3 linked regions of the Danio rerio genome follow. The protein of the gene in region 1 interacts with the protein of each later gene in a biochemical or structural test. Links are inferred from orthologs where the notes say so. Each region holds a gene or a part of one and is shown in the gene's direction. Other genes may lie near its edges.

Evidence for each region. The genes of interacting proteins can lie anywhere in the genome.
Region 2: the proteins of poli (region 1) and pcna form a complex in vitro, tested with the Homo sapiens proteins (4 studies listed by BioGRID, with this or other methods). The link is inferred for Danio rerio from reciprocal best matches to the Homo sapiens genes POLI and PCNA.
Region 3: the proteins of poli (region 1) and polh interact in far-western blotting, tested with the Homo sapiens proteins (2 studies listed by BioGRID). The link is inferred for Danio rerio from reciprocal best matches to the Homo sapiens genes POLI and POLH.

What each region holds. Positions count from the first base shown.
Region 1 is NC_133180.1:19,648,497-19,652,518, reverse strand, and holds the start of poli (DNA polymerase iota), read left to right. Parts: upstream 1-1,221; 5' UTR 1,222-1,250; exon of another isoform or gene 1,251-1,343; coding exon 1,344-1,413; intron 1,414-2,324; coding exon 2,325-2,447; intron 2,448-3,165; coding exon 3,166-3,330; intron 3,331-4,022. Other genes in the region: pgam5 (serine/threonine-protein phosphatase PGAM5, mitochondrial precursor), read right to left, coding at 217-413. UniProt on the Homo sapiens protein: Error-prone DNA polymerase specifically involved in DNA repair. Plays an important role in translesion synthesis, where the normal high-fidelity DNA polymerases cannot proceed and DNA synthesis stalls. Favors Hoogsteen base-pairing in the active site.
Region 2 is NC_133185.1:46,058,742-46,062,750, reverse strand, and holds the start of pcna (proliferating cell nuclear antigen), read left to right. Parts: upstream 1-1,199; 5' UTR 1,200-1,461; coding exon 1,462-1,682; exon of another isoform or gene 1,683-1,735; coding exon of another isoform or gene 1,736-1,767; exon of another isoform or gene 1,768-1,957; intron 1,958-2,161; coding exon 2,162-2,259; intron 2,260-2,681; coding exon 2,682-2,749; intron 2,750-3,256; coding exon 3,257-3,451; intron 3,452-4,009. Other genes in the region: E3 ubiquitin-protein ligase TRIM69, read right to left, coding at 1,736-1,767. UniProt on the Homo sapiens protein: Auxiliary protein of DNA polymerase delta and epsilon, is involved in the control of eukaryotic DNA replication by increasing the polymerase's processibility during elongation of the leading strand.
Region 3 is NC_133188.1:722,647-726,840, reverse strand, and holds the start of polh (DNA polymerase eta), read left to right. Parts: upstream 1-1,384; 5' UTR 1,385-1,456; coding exon 1,457-1,593; intron 1,594-3,121; coding exon 3,122-3,256; intron 3,257-4,194. UniProt on the Homo sapiens protein: DNA polymerase specifically involved in the DNA repair by translesion synthesis (TLS). Due to low processivity on both damaged and normal DNA, cooperates with the heterotetrameric (REV3L, REV7, POLD2 and POLD3) POLZ complex for complete bypass of DNA lesions.

The sequences.
Region 1 (4,022 bases):
GTTCAAGCTTAAACTGGGTGATCTATTAATTATCACCACTAATTAAGGCGTTTAACCTAATTAGGTTGCCCCATAAACACTAACCAACACCTGCTATGGGTTTTTAACATGGCTTTACTGTTATACTGAACTTGCACCATATAGTATTCCTCCATATAACTTAAATATTACTTATATTCAATAATAATTAATCAGAAGTGACTCTTGATTGCTTACTTGTCCCAGTTATAATCCCACCCGTTCGCAGTGGGCCATGCCGGAGGATGCGCTGCGTTTACGGCTGCCAGAGTTTCTGTGACTCGGCGTCCCTCTCCAAAATACCCATTTTTATCAGCCACCACCGCCGCACACACGAGTACCGCGGATCCGCCAGCGAACCCGCATGCGAGACTTAGCGCCCTCCGAAAAGACATGCTTCAAACCCGCACAAAACACCGGAGTCACCGCGGAGCTGCTTTTCAGCGCCGTGACGCACAATGAGAGAGTCGGACTGCTTAGGAAGTGCCGCTGTTTGCTTCTATCTCACAGCGTCGAACAAAGAGGACGTAGAAGTCCTGCTGTTTCTAACATGTGCTTTATTTTCCCCAAACCTGTATGAGAGTTTAATCCAGTAGAATATAGTTGGTTTTAACACAAAATTAACTTCCTTAAGCAGAGTCACGACTTCATTTGTGAAGGCAGCGACAAAAGACAGCCGCACGACCATGAAAAATAAAAGCCTCCATGATATAATAGTAACACCTTTTAATACTAGCATGTTTTGTCAGTATTATTTTTATATTAGCTAATAGATATATTAAATGGTTTTAGATATATTCTGTGTTTATTTTAAGCATTCAATTTGAATAAACAAAATAAGTTAATTAAATAAAAAAGGTAATCTAATGCTATTGGATTAACACCATTATCATACAACAAATTTCGCTTTATATTTTGTATAATATATTTAATTTTTTTATCTAACATAACATTATTGCGTTTGTGGTTTGTGTATTAATGATAATATTGTGTAATAATGAAATGCGTTCTTCCATTTTATAGAATTAATCATGCTAGGTTTTTAAAAAAAATATATATATTTTTTTTTACTTCTGTATAACTTTAAATAAAATGGATCACAATCAATTTAAACAACTGCACAGAAAAAATGAATAAATGTCAATCTTTTTTTCCTGCATTTTACTCCAGACCTGCAGGTGGCAGTAAATGTCAGCAAATGCTGCACATGCATGCTGGTTATGTTTTGATTGGTGTGTCGACATGTTTTGCTGTTGTTGATTTACAGTAATGTTTTATTTAGTTTGGTATTGTCATTCACAACTGTTCATTTCGTTGTTGTAAAGATGGACTCGGACGAAGAGGAAGACAATAATGACTGGGAACGCAGTTTAGAGTCAGACATTTTGGAGACTGGTGGGTTTCTATCTGGACAACCCTGAACTTCACCATAAATATGTTTTTGTAGACAACATTTACTCAAAGTATTCATGTGTCTTTAGAATAAAGTGTTAGTTTCTTTGGCATAATGTGTCATGGCAGTTTTGAAATATAGACTGTATTAAGGTTTGGTTTAGGTGACTGCCTCGGCTGGGTCAGTTGGCATTTCTGTGTGGAGTTTGTATGTCCTCCCCCTGTTCGCGTGGGTTTCCTCTTGGTGCTCTGATTCCCCCCACAGTCCAAAGACATGCGTTATTATAGGTAGTGCCAGACGGAATCTGCAGACATTGTTTGCTATTTCTGCGCAGAATTGTTAAAAATCTGCGGAATTATTTAGGGAGTATCATAACTAAAACCCTAATATATGTAATAAAAAAACAATACCGTTTAAACTTTTATTTAATGTTTAAAATGCAAATCCAATTAGATCCTCTTTATTTGGTAAACAAAGCAAGTATGTCATATAATATATCTACTAAAAGACAGAAATTATTACTTTACACACTGTATAGTAAATAAATCATATAAACATTTTTTTTATGTTAGTCAATAATATTACTGAAATTAATTAAAAAACTGAAATAAATATAAATTTACACACATTTACACAAGTAAATAAACCGAATCAACGATGGGCTAAAATTTTGTGGAATTCTGCATGCGCTGATTCCGTGTGGGATTAAAGCTTAATTCACACATAGTGTATGGATGGAAAAGTGTATGGGTGTTTCCCAGTGTTGGGTTGTGGCTGGACGGGCATCCGCTGCGTAAAAATGTGCTGGATAAGTTATCTGTTTAACTTACCCTGATTAATAAAGGAACTAAGCCGAAAAGAAAACTAACGAATACAGTATCTGTTTTATGTGTGTCTTGACTTATTATTTCAGAAGGAAGTTCCACTGATAGAGTTTCATTGACATCCCAGAGAGTGATCCTGCATTTTGACCTGGACTGTTTTTATGCACAAGTTGAGATGATCCGAAATCCAGCTCTCCGGACCAAACCTCTTGGTAAACCACCAAATACAGTTGAAGTCAGAATTATTAGCTCCCCTTTAAAATTTTTTTTCTTTGTTTTAAATATTTCCCAAATGATGTTTAACAGAGCAAGAACATTTTCACAGTATCTGATAATATGTTTTTTTTTCTGGGGAAAGTCTTGTTTTATTTTGGCTAGAATAAAAGCAGTTTTTAAATTTTTAAAAGTTATTTTAAGGTCAATATTATTTGCCCCTTTAAGCTAATTTTATTTTCGATTGTCTACAAAACAAAGCATCAATATATACAATAATTTGCCTGGTTAGTTCACCTAATTAACCTAGTTAAGCCTTTAAATGTCACTTTAAGCTGTATAGAAGTGTAAAATATAAAGAAAAGCATTATTTACTGTCATCAAAGCAAAGATAAAATAAGTCACTTATTAGAAATGAGTTATTAAATCTATTATTATTATAAATGTGTTGAAAAAATCTTCTCTCCGTTAAACAGAAATTGGGGAAAAAAGAAACAGAGAACTAATAAATCTGAGGAGTTAATAGTTCTGAGTTCAACTGTAATACAAATTTTTTTTTACACAGTATAAAATCTTTATTATTTGACTGTTTACATTTAGTTTTATATTCTTTTGCAAAACTTATGAGCACGTTTTTGTGTTTTCTGCCATTTAATTCAAATAAAATACTTTTGTAATTCTTGTCTTTTGTAATGTCATGTCTTTACTTTTCTTTAGGGATACAGCAGAAATATATTATTGTAACCAGTAATTATGTGGCAAGAGAGCTTGGCGTGAACAAGCTGATGTCAGTGACAGATGCAGTGGAGAAATGTCCACAGCTGGTGCTTGTAAAAGGAGAAGATCTCACTCATTACAGAGAAATGTCCTACAAAGTCACTGGTGAGAACATCATATGTTTAATGTGTACTGCTATGCATATGTGTCCATAAAGTGCAAGTGGGTCAAACACAAAAAGGGTTTTTTAAACATCAAAACAAGTTTAATAATACAACTTCATTTTCAAAGTAAAAAGATTAAAAAGTGTCCCTTTTTCCAATACATTTTTAAATGAACGTACATTAAAATCTACTAAAATGTCATTGAGTACAACAACAGTTTTTTATATATATCATATCAATCAAATGCAGAAGAAGGTAGATAATTTTTTCAAATCAATTGTGTGTAACCCAGACTTTTTTACAGTGTGGGGTGCCTGAATATAATTGGATGAACTGGCAGTGGACATTGTTACTCTGATTAAAACAAAGACAAACATTCTGACACACAAAGAATATTTTCGCAAAATAATAAATTACTTTAGCATTGTTTTTCATAAAAAACAAATATGTTACATTAGCACATTTCTTAAATTTCTTTAAACATATTGGGTTATTTGGTCACACTTTATTTTAATGGTCCGTTTGTTGAATTTAAGTTACATTGCATCTACATGCCTGCCAACTTATTCTCATTAGATTATAAGTAAACTTATTATAAGTAGATCATATTATGTAGAGGAGTGATTCTTGTAAAATAAATAACAAATAAATTACATGCATAGATAAATAAAATATAGTAAAGATAAAAGTGGT
Region 2 (4,009 bases), on another chromosome or scaffold:
TATATATACATACACACACACACACACACACACATACATACATATATATATATATATATATATATATATATATATATATATATATATATATATATATATATGCTCAAGTATCCCCAACTGTATCCCTTCTTTTGTTTGTGTAACACATATATGTATGTATGTATGTATGTATATATATATATATATATATATATATATATATATATATATATATACATACATAAATGTGTTACACAAACAAAAGAAGGGATACAGTTGTGGGATACTTGATCATGCGCACATCAACATAGCATGATTTTTGTGACACAACAGTATTTTACGTTACTGTGATGGGTCGATTTAGGATTTGGGTAAGGTAGACGTTATTAAAAAGCATTATAATGGGTATTCATAAATATTATAAGTAGTTATTGTTAACTGAAGACCGCAGCTATATCCTTTAGCAACAAAACATGTGTTACACAAAAAGTTGCGGATACTTGGGCATGCGCACATCAACATCAATCGTTGGTACACTGCACAACAATAATTAATATTTTACGTTACTGTGACTTGTCGATTTAGGGTTTGGTTAGGGGTATACGTTATTAAAACGCACTGTAATGGGTATTTATAATTTTTATAAATAATTCTCGTTAACTGCTGACCGTAGCTGTATCCCTTCTAGCAACAGCACAGTAATTTGTCACAGAAACAAAAAAGGGATACAGGTGCGTATACTTGGGCATGCGCACATCAACATAGTCTGATCTTTGGTAAACTGCACAACAATAATTAATAATTTACGTTACTGTGACTGGTCAATTTAGGGTTTGGTTAGGGGGTATACGTTATTAAAACGCACTGTAATGGGTATTTATAAATTTTATAAATAATTCTCGTTAACTGCCGACCGTAGCTGTATCCCTTCTAGCAACAGCACAGTAATTTGTCAAAGAAACAAAAAAAGGGATACAGTTGTGGATACTTGGGCATGCGCACGTTGACATAGCATCATTTTTCACACTGTACGACAATATATAATATTTTACACCACAGTGACGGGTCAGTTTAGGGTTTGGGTGGGGGTAAAGGTTATTAAAACGCACTGTAATGGGTATTCATAAATGTTGTGAATAACTCATACCTTCTGACCAAATTGCGCCCTCTTTTGGTCAGTGTCCGCAGTTCTGTCTGCGTTCCAGGAGGAGTCAAACGTCAGCGGAAATGACGAAGGCAACAGTGGGTCAGTTTAACAAAATCCCGGCGAAAGCGCGCGCAGTTACATTCAGAGCCTCGCCAGAACAGTGGACAGCACATCTGCACCGTGCCTCCTCTGCATTAGTACCTGCTAAACTCTAGGATAGTTTAGGATTCTGCTTTCCTGTGCTGGAAAACAAGCAGTTAACCAGGCCGCAGCTTGTGTCGTAACAGGATTAGATAACTTTAGTTCCTCCTACTCTAAACTAAGAAAGCAGCACAATGTTTGAGGCACGTCTGGTTCAGGGATCTATCCTTAAGAAGGTCCTGGAGGCTCTGAAAGACCTGATCACCGAGGCTTGCTGGGATGTGAGCTCGTCGGGCATTTCTCTGCAGAGTATGGACTCCTCTCATGTGTCTCTGGTGCAGCTGACGCTCCGGAGTGACGGGTTCGACTCCTACCGCTGCGACAGAAACCTAGCCATGGGGGTCAATCTGAGCAGGTAAAATCACTGACTAAATCAAGCGCCTTTTGTGTTATTTGACTCGTATTTACTTGGTGAGTGAAGTTTGAACATGTCTGCGCATGCCCGGGGCTGCGCCTCTACACAGCAGCGCGCCATTTTTAGACTATAAAGTGACAAAAGTATTTTATTTACAGTAGTTGTTATTAAAGTATGCCGTTTTACGGTTGTGTTTTAAATAGGCTATCAGTTTAATTTGGCGCGCAGTTTCCTGCATTCGTCCCACGCTCTACTGATCGTGACGTCACTTGCGCGCGCTTAAGCTTGTTGGCGGGAAAGAAAATGCCGGGTTGCTGAATGACAACATGGCTCTGGTGTTAGACAAAGAAAACCTGCTTAGACACTTTTTGTGTATGCCATGACTGTTTCGAATGTAAATGGTAAACCATTTTACGATCAATATGGTGTTTTTCTACCTGAAGTGAACGTGTTTTGATTATTATTCATCTGTTTCCTAGCATGTCGAAGATTCTGAAGTGTGCTGGAAATGAAGACATCATCACACTCAGAGCTGAAGACAATGCTGACGCCTTGGCACTGGTCTTTGAAACGCTCAGTAAGTTAACTTCTTTTTAAACTAGGAATAGCAATACTTTTGATAGTGTACAATTAAAAAAAACTTTTTTTTATTATGAATTTATTTTATGTTGCTAAATTTATATTTGCAGTATTTTAATATCGATTTATCAGCAATACCTGTTAAAAACATGGGCTTTGGTTTAAAATGAATCATTAAAGTTAAGCTAAATAATTAATACTTAATATTTAAAAATAATTTTCTAATAATAATTTTCTCCAAAAATGTAAGAATGAAATTCGCATAGATACTGGAGCCATTTTGTGGTTAATAACATCACATAAAAAAAATGCTTCTAGTATGGATTTTCTTCACCATGTTATCAACTATTACTATGAAACCAAAAGTTAAGTTTTGCTGGAGAGCTAATAATCCATACTAATATTTACATCTCATTTCAGATCAAGAGAAAGTGTCCGACTATGAGATGAAACTGATGGATCTGGATGTGGAGCAGCTTGGCATTCCAGTAAGACTTTATTATAACAGGGTGTCTGCAGGGTCATTAAAAGTTGATAAATCAATTTGGTATTAAACAGCCTTAACTGTTGTTTTACAAGATATAATTGTTTTGGTCATTTTATGATTATATAATGTGTAGTTGTGTGCTAAAGTTTGCCTAAATTTAATCTGTGTGGTTTATGAAATTGATAAAATCCTGCTAGATTTGGCATCACACTGCTTTGTCTACTGCAGTAATAAAGGCAAGCCTATGTTTCCTGCTGTTCTATAGGTGCCATCTGTTGGGATTAGCATTTTTATTCAGTACATGACCGATTTAGTTTAGGATTCGTTTCTTACAATCAGTATTTAGTAAATATACTACAAGTTGAATTGTCACCAATGTTAAGTTAAAACCTAAAATGGCGATGAGGTCTTAAAGTTTATTGAGTTTCCCTCTCTTGATTCCTGTTTATTTCTGATATGATCGTGGATGTTTGTCTGCAATGATCATGCTTTATTCTCTTCCCCTCAGGAGCAGGAATACAGTTGTGTGGTGAAGATGCCGTCGGGTGAGTTTGCCCGCATCTGCAGGGATCTGTCACAGATTGGTGATGCTGTCATGATCTCGTGTGCCAAGGATGGCGTGAAGTTCTCTGCCAGCGGAGAGCTGGGCACAGGCAACATCAAGCTCTCACAGACCAGCAACGTCGACAAGGAGGATGAAGCGGTAACATACTATTCATTTAAGGCTGCACGATACTGGGAAAAATATGCAATATATATTCTATAATCAAACATTTCTCTGAAAAAGTCAATTTAATTAGCTGTTTTAAAAAAATTATTTCATGATTTTGCAATAAACAAGTAAAATATATTTTCCAGATCTAATTCAGACTTAAAACTGTCAAGATGCAAACCTTTAGTCTTTAAAGCACTATTAGTGAGAATCATTTTTTAGCTCTGATTTCACCTTTAAGCCAATCCAGCCAATAGCAGAACAGCAACTACTTAGGAGGCGGGGCTAAAGGTAGTAAAGGCCCCATCTGATTGATCAGATTTATATAATAAGCAGCTTTATTTTCATTTAGCACCTTTAAAAGTAGCATCTCGGGGCACTTTACAGACATAATGTGCAGCTGTTAAAGATGCATACAGGATGAATGCAAAAAAAATGCAATGAATATAATCAAACGCTTACAATAATAATAAATCTAAAAAGCTACCCTAAAAGAGTAGGTTATAAGTGATTTAATAATTATCTGGGATTTTATCAGAGGGTTAAGAG
Region 3 (4,194 bases), on another chromosome or scaffold:
TTGACACTTCAATCAAAACATTTTTATATTTATTATATATATATATATATATATATATATTTTTTTTTTTAATATATTATTTATAAACATAATCTTAAAATATTTTTGAGTATTTACAGATACATTTAGAGTATTTGGAGTATCAATACCCAAACATTTGTATTTTAGAGTATTTAGATATTATAGAGAGAGTATCCCAGAGTAGATATAGAGTATTTTAGAGTATTTAGCTATATATATATATATATATATATATATATATATATATATATAGAGAGAGAGAGAGAGAGAGAGAGAGAGAGAGAGAGAGAGAGAGTATCCCAGAGTAGATATAGAGTGATTTAGAGTATCAATCCCCAGATATAGAGTATTTTAGAGTATTTAGATATATAGAGAGTAAATATAAAGTTTATGTATCACCAGATACAGTATGGTAGATACAGTATGCAGTATACCAGATACAGTATGTAGATATAGAGTATTTCATGTCTCCATCCCCAGATACAGAGTATTTTTGTGTTTAGATGGAGTATATGTATATAGAAATAATATTTTATGGATTAATCACCAGAGCATTTTAGATATAGAGTGTTTTAGAGTATTTACTTATGTATAGACAATATAATAGATTAGTTTAGAATAGATATTAAATACAATCTAATGGGCAATTTATTAAATAATATGAAAAATACTCCGTATAATTACGTTTTTTACGTTACTGTGATGGGTTTAGGGTTGGGGCATTAATAAAATACAATTTAATAGGTAATTTAATAAATAATATGAATAATACTCGGTATAATATAATTGTACATTACTGTGGGTTGGGGTTGGTGTTATTAAAATACAATTACATGGATAATTTATTAAATATTATTAATAATACTCTGTATAATTACTGTTTTACATCACTGTGAGGTTTGGGTTTAGCGGTAGATGTTAATGAAATACAATGAACGGGTAATTTAATAATTAATATTAATAATTCTTGCTATAGTTAGTGTTTTTACATTACAATGAGGGTTGGGTTTAGTGTTGGGTAGAAATGGACGTTAATAAAATGCAATTAGTAGTTAATTTAATTTAATAAACAGTTCTCGTTAACTTCTGTCAGCAGCTGTATCCCTTCTAGCAACAACCCGTGAGAATGGCATACCTGTTAATGTCAGTTATTTATATTATTTTAATAAATTATTCATGAATTGTATTTTATTGACTTCTGACTATCCCTACCTAAACCCTCGCTGTAATGTAAAAATATTTAACTATAAAAATAATAATTTAACTCAATATTTATTTTCAAGTGCGCCAGAGGGCAGTGCGCAGATCACACTCGCGCTGCTCCACACAGAGACAGACGAAGAAGAAGAGCTCGAGCTTTACCCGCGGAGAACACCAGGAAGTTCCATAACACAGACAGACTTTCATAATAATCCAGATTTATGATCTCACGCTGATGGATTTCGGGAAGGAGCGAGTGGTCGCGCTGGTGGACATGGACTGCTTCTATGTGCAGGTGGAGCAGAGACTGAAGCCCGAGCTGAAGAACAAACCCTGCGTTGTGGCGCAGTACAAGACCTGGAAAGGCGGAGGGTGAGGAAACTGACAGAAACCCGCACACAAATGAGCAAAACAGCACAGATTTAAGCAGAAATATACAATATAACCAGAGCTGGGAGCTTTATTTCACTACAGATCTCAAAATACATACTTTAAAAAGACATGTGTAGCGTATTCCGTTAGATTAGTCACGTTTAGTAATGTCCTGCATCGCAGATATACAGTTACAGTAATTTTAATTGGGCTAAAGTTGGTTTTATTTGCACACATTCAGACTTTCTCCTTAATATAAAGTTTGTTTTATTTTCACTCATTCATTCAGTGATGACTCCTGACACCCTCCCTGTATAGTTTACCATGGTATTTTGAATATTGGGTGTGAAACAGCATGTAAGTATGAGTAAAAACAACATCTGCGCTATTTACTGACTGTGATCAGTGTTGTATTTTGATAGCCACCGGCTGATAATGTGATATTGAGGTAAAAGTTGGCTTTATATTCATCATATAATTTCAGAAAAGTGTTTTTTGCAAACCATAAATGGGGAAATCACATTATCAGTCAGTGAATATCAAAGTACAACACTGCTTATAGTCAATAAAATAATGATAATGTCATTGTGAAGTCAGACCTGCATGCTATTTCAGACCAAATATTAAGTTTAGCGTTTCACAAGTTGTCACTGTTCAGAAATGAGCAAATGTGTTAACATATAACCAGCTTTACTTCGTTATCACAAAATACATTCATTAAAAAGTAATTTGTAATGTATTCTGTCAAGTTAAGTACCGTCCTACATCACTAATATACTATAGCAATTTTTAACTATGCTTTAGTAAAGTGTATTATACTGTATATTAGAGCATTTAAAATACTCAATTAATGCTTCAGCATATTAAACCAACTTCACCCCAATAGAAAACTGACAGAAAAACTGCTCAGAAATGAGCAAAACAGCACAGATATAAGCAGAAATATACATTATAATCAGAGCTGGGAGCTTTATTTCACTACAGATTTCAAATACATGATTTAAAAAGACATGTGTAATGCATTTTATTAGTTTAGTAATGTTACCGACCTACATTACAAATATACTATAGTAATCTTTATTGGGGTAAAGTTGGTTTTATATTTGCACATTCATTCAGTGACGACTCCTGACACCCTCCCTGTATAGTTTACCATGGTATTTTGAATATTGGGTGTGAAACAGCATGTAAGTATGAGTAAAAACAACATCAGCACTATTTACTGACTGTGATCAGTGTTGTATTTTGATAGCCACCGGCTGATAATGTGATAATGAGGTAAACATTGGCTTTATATTCACACATTCAGAATATATTCAGTGAATATCAAAGCACAACATTGTTTAGTCAGTTAATAATAATAATAATAAATAGTGCTGATGTTGTTTTGAATTTCAGACCCAACATTTAAAGTAGCCGTAAACACTATAGAGAGCATTAAAATGAACACTTGTGTGAAAATAAAGCCAACTGGACCTCAGTCTTCCTCAGAGGATCTGTGTTAAAGTGCTGTGATTACTGTGTCCAGCATTATAGCGGTGAGTTACGAGGCCAGAGCTCATGGAGTCGGCAGGAACATGTTCGCGGATGATGCCAGAAAGCTGTGTCCAGATCTGCAGGTGGCTCGGGTCCCAGAGGCTCACGGGAAGGCGGATCTCACACAGTAAGAGCTGTTTATTCTCAGAGCCACTTCAACAGTTATTACTTTCTAATTACAATTTAGATGAAGATTAAATGTCAAAGAATTTATTGCGATTAATTGCAATGAATAGTCCCATACAGAACTCCATGTCAGATATAAGACATATTAATTATGTCTATTTGTGTTTCTAATAATTAAAAGCGCACAGTGCTCAGCATAAATGAGCACACCTCCTTTGAAAAAAGCACATTTTTATTTTTATTTATCATTTTTTTCAATAAATATAGCCAATATGTTTTGGTGCATTTAAACTAAACAGTTTGATTAATCAGATACATGCATTAAATTAAGAGTTTGGTCACCGAATATCTTTAGGAATCCAAATAAAATACATTTAAATTGTGACTGGGATCCTGTTTATGAATCTTTTATTTAATATTTATCATTTATTCATTTTCCTTCGGCTTAGTCCCCTTATTCATCAGGGGTCTCCACAGCGGAATGAACCACCAACTATCCCTGCATATTGTTTATGGAGCCCATGCCCTTCCAGCAGCAACCCACTTGGAAACACCTATACACACTTATTCGCACACACACACACACACACACACACACACACACACACACACACACACACACACACAAACACAAACACAAACAAACACAAACAAACACACACAAACACACAAACACACACACACAAACACACTCACACACACACACTCATACACTCATACACTATGGCCACATTAATTCATCAGTTCCCCTATAGTGTTTGGACTGTGGGGGAAACCGGAGCACCCAGAGGAAGCCCACGCCAACACTTGGAGAACATGCAAACTCCACACAGAAACTCCAACTGACCCAGCTGGGACTCGAACCAGTGACCTTAGTGCTAACCACTGTGCCACCCCTATTTAATATGTATCCCTAACATAGTATTTTTTGGACCTTGT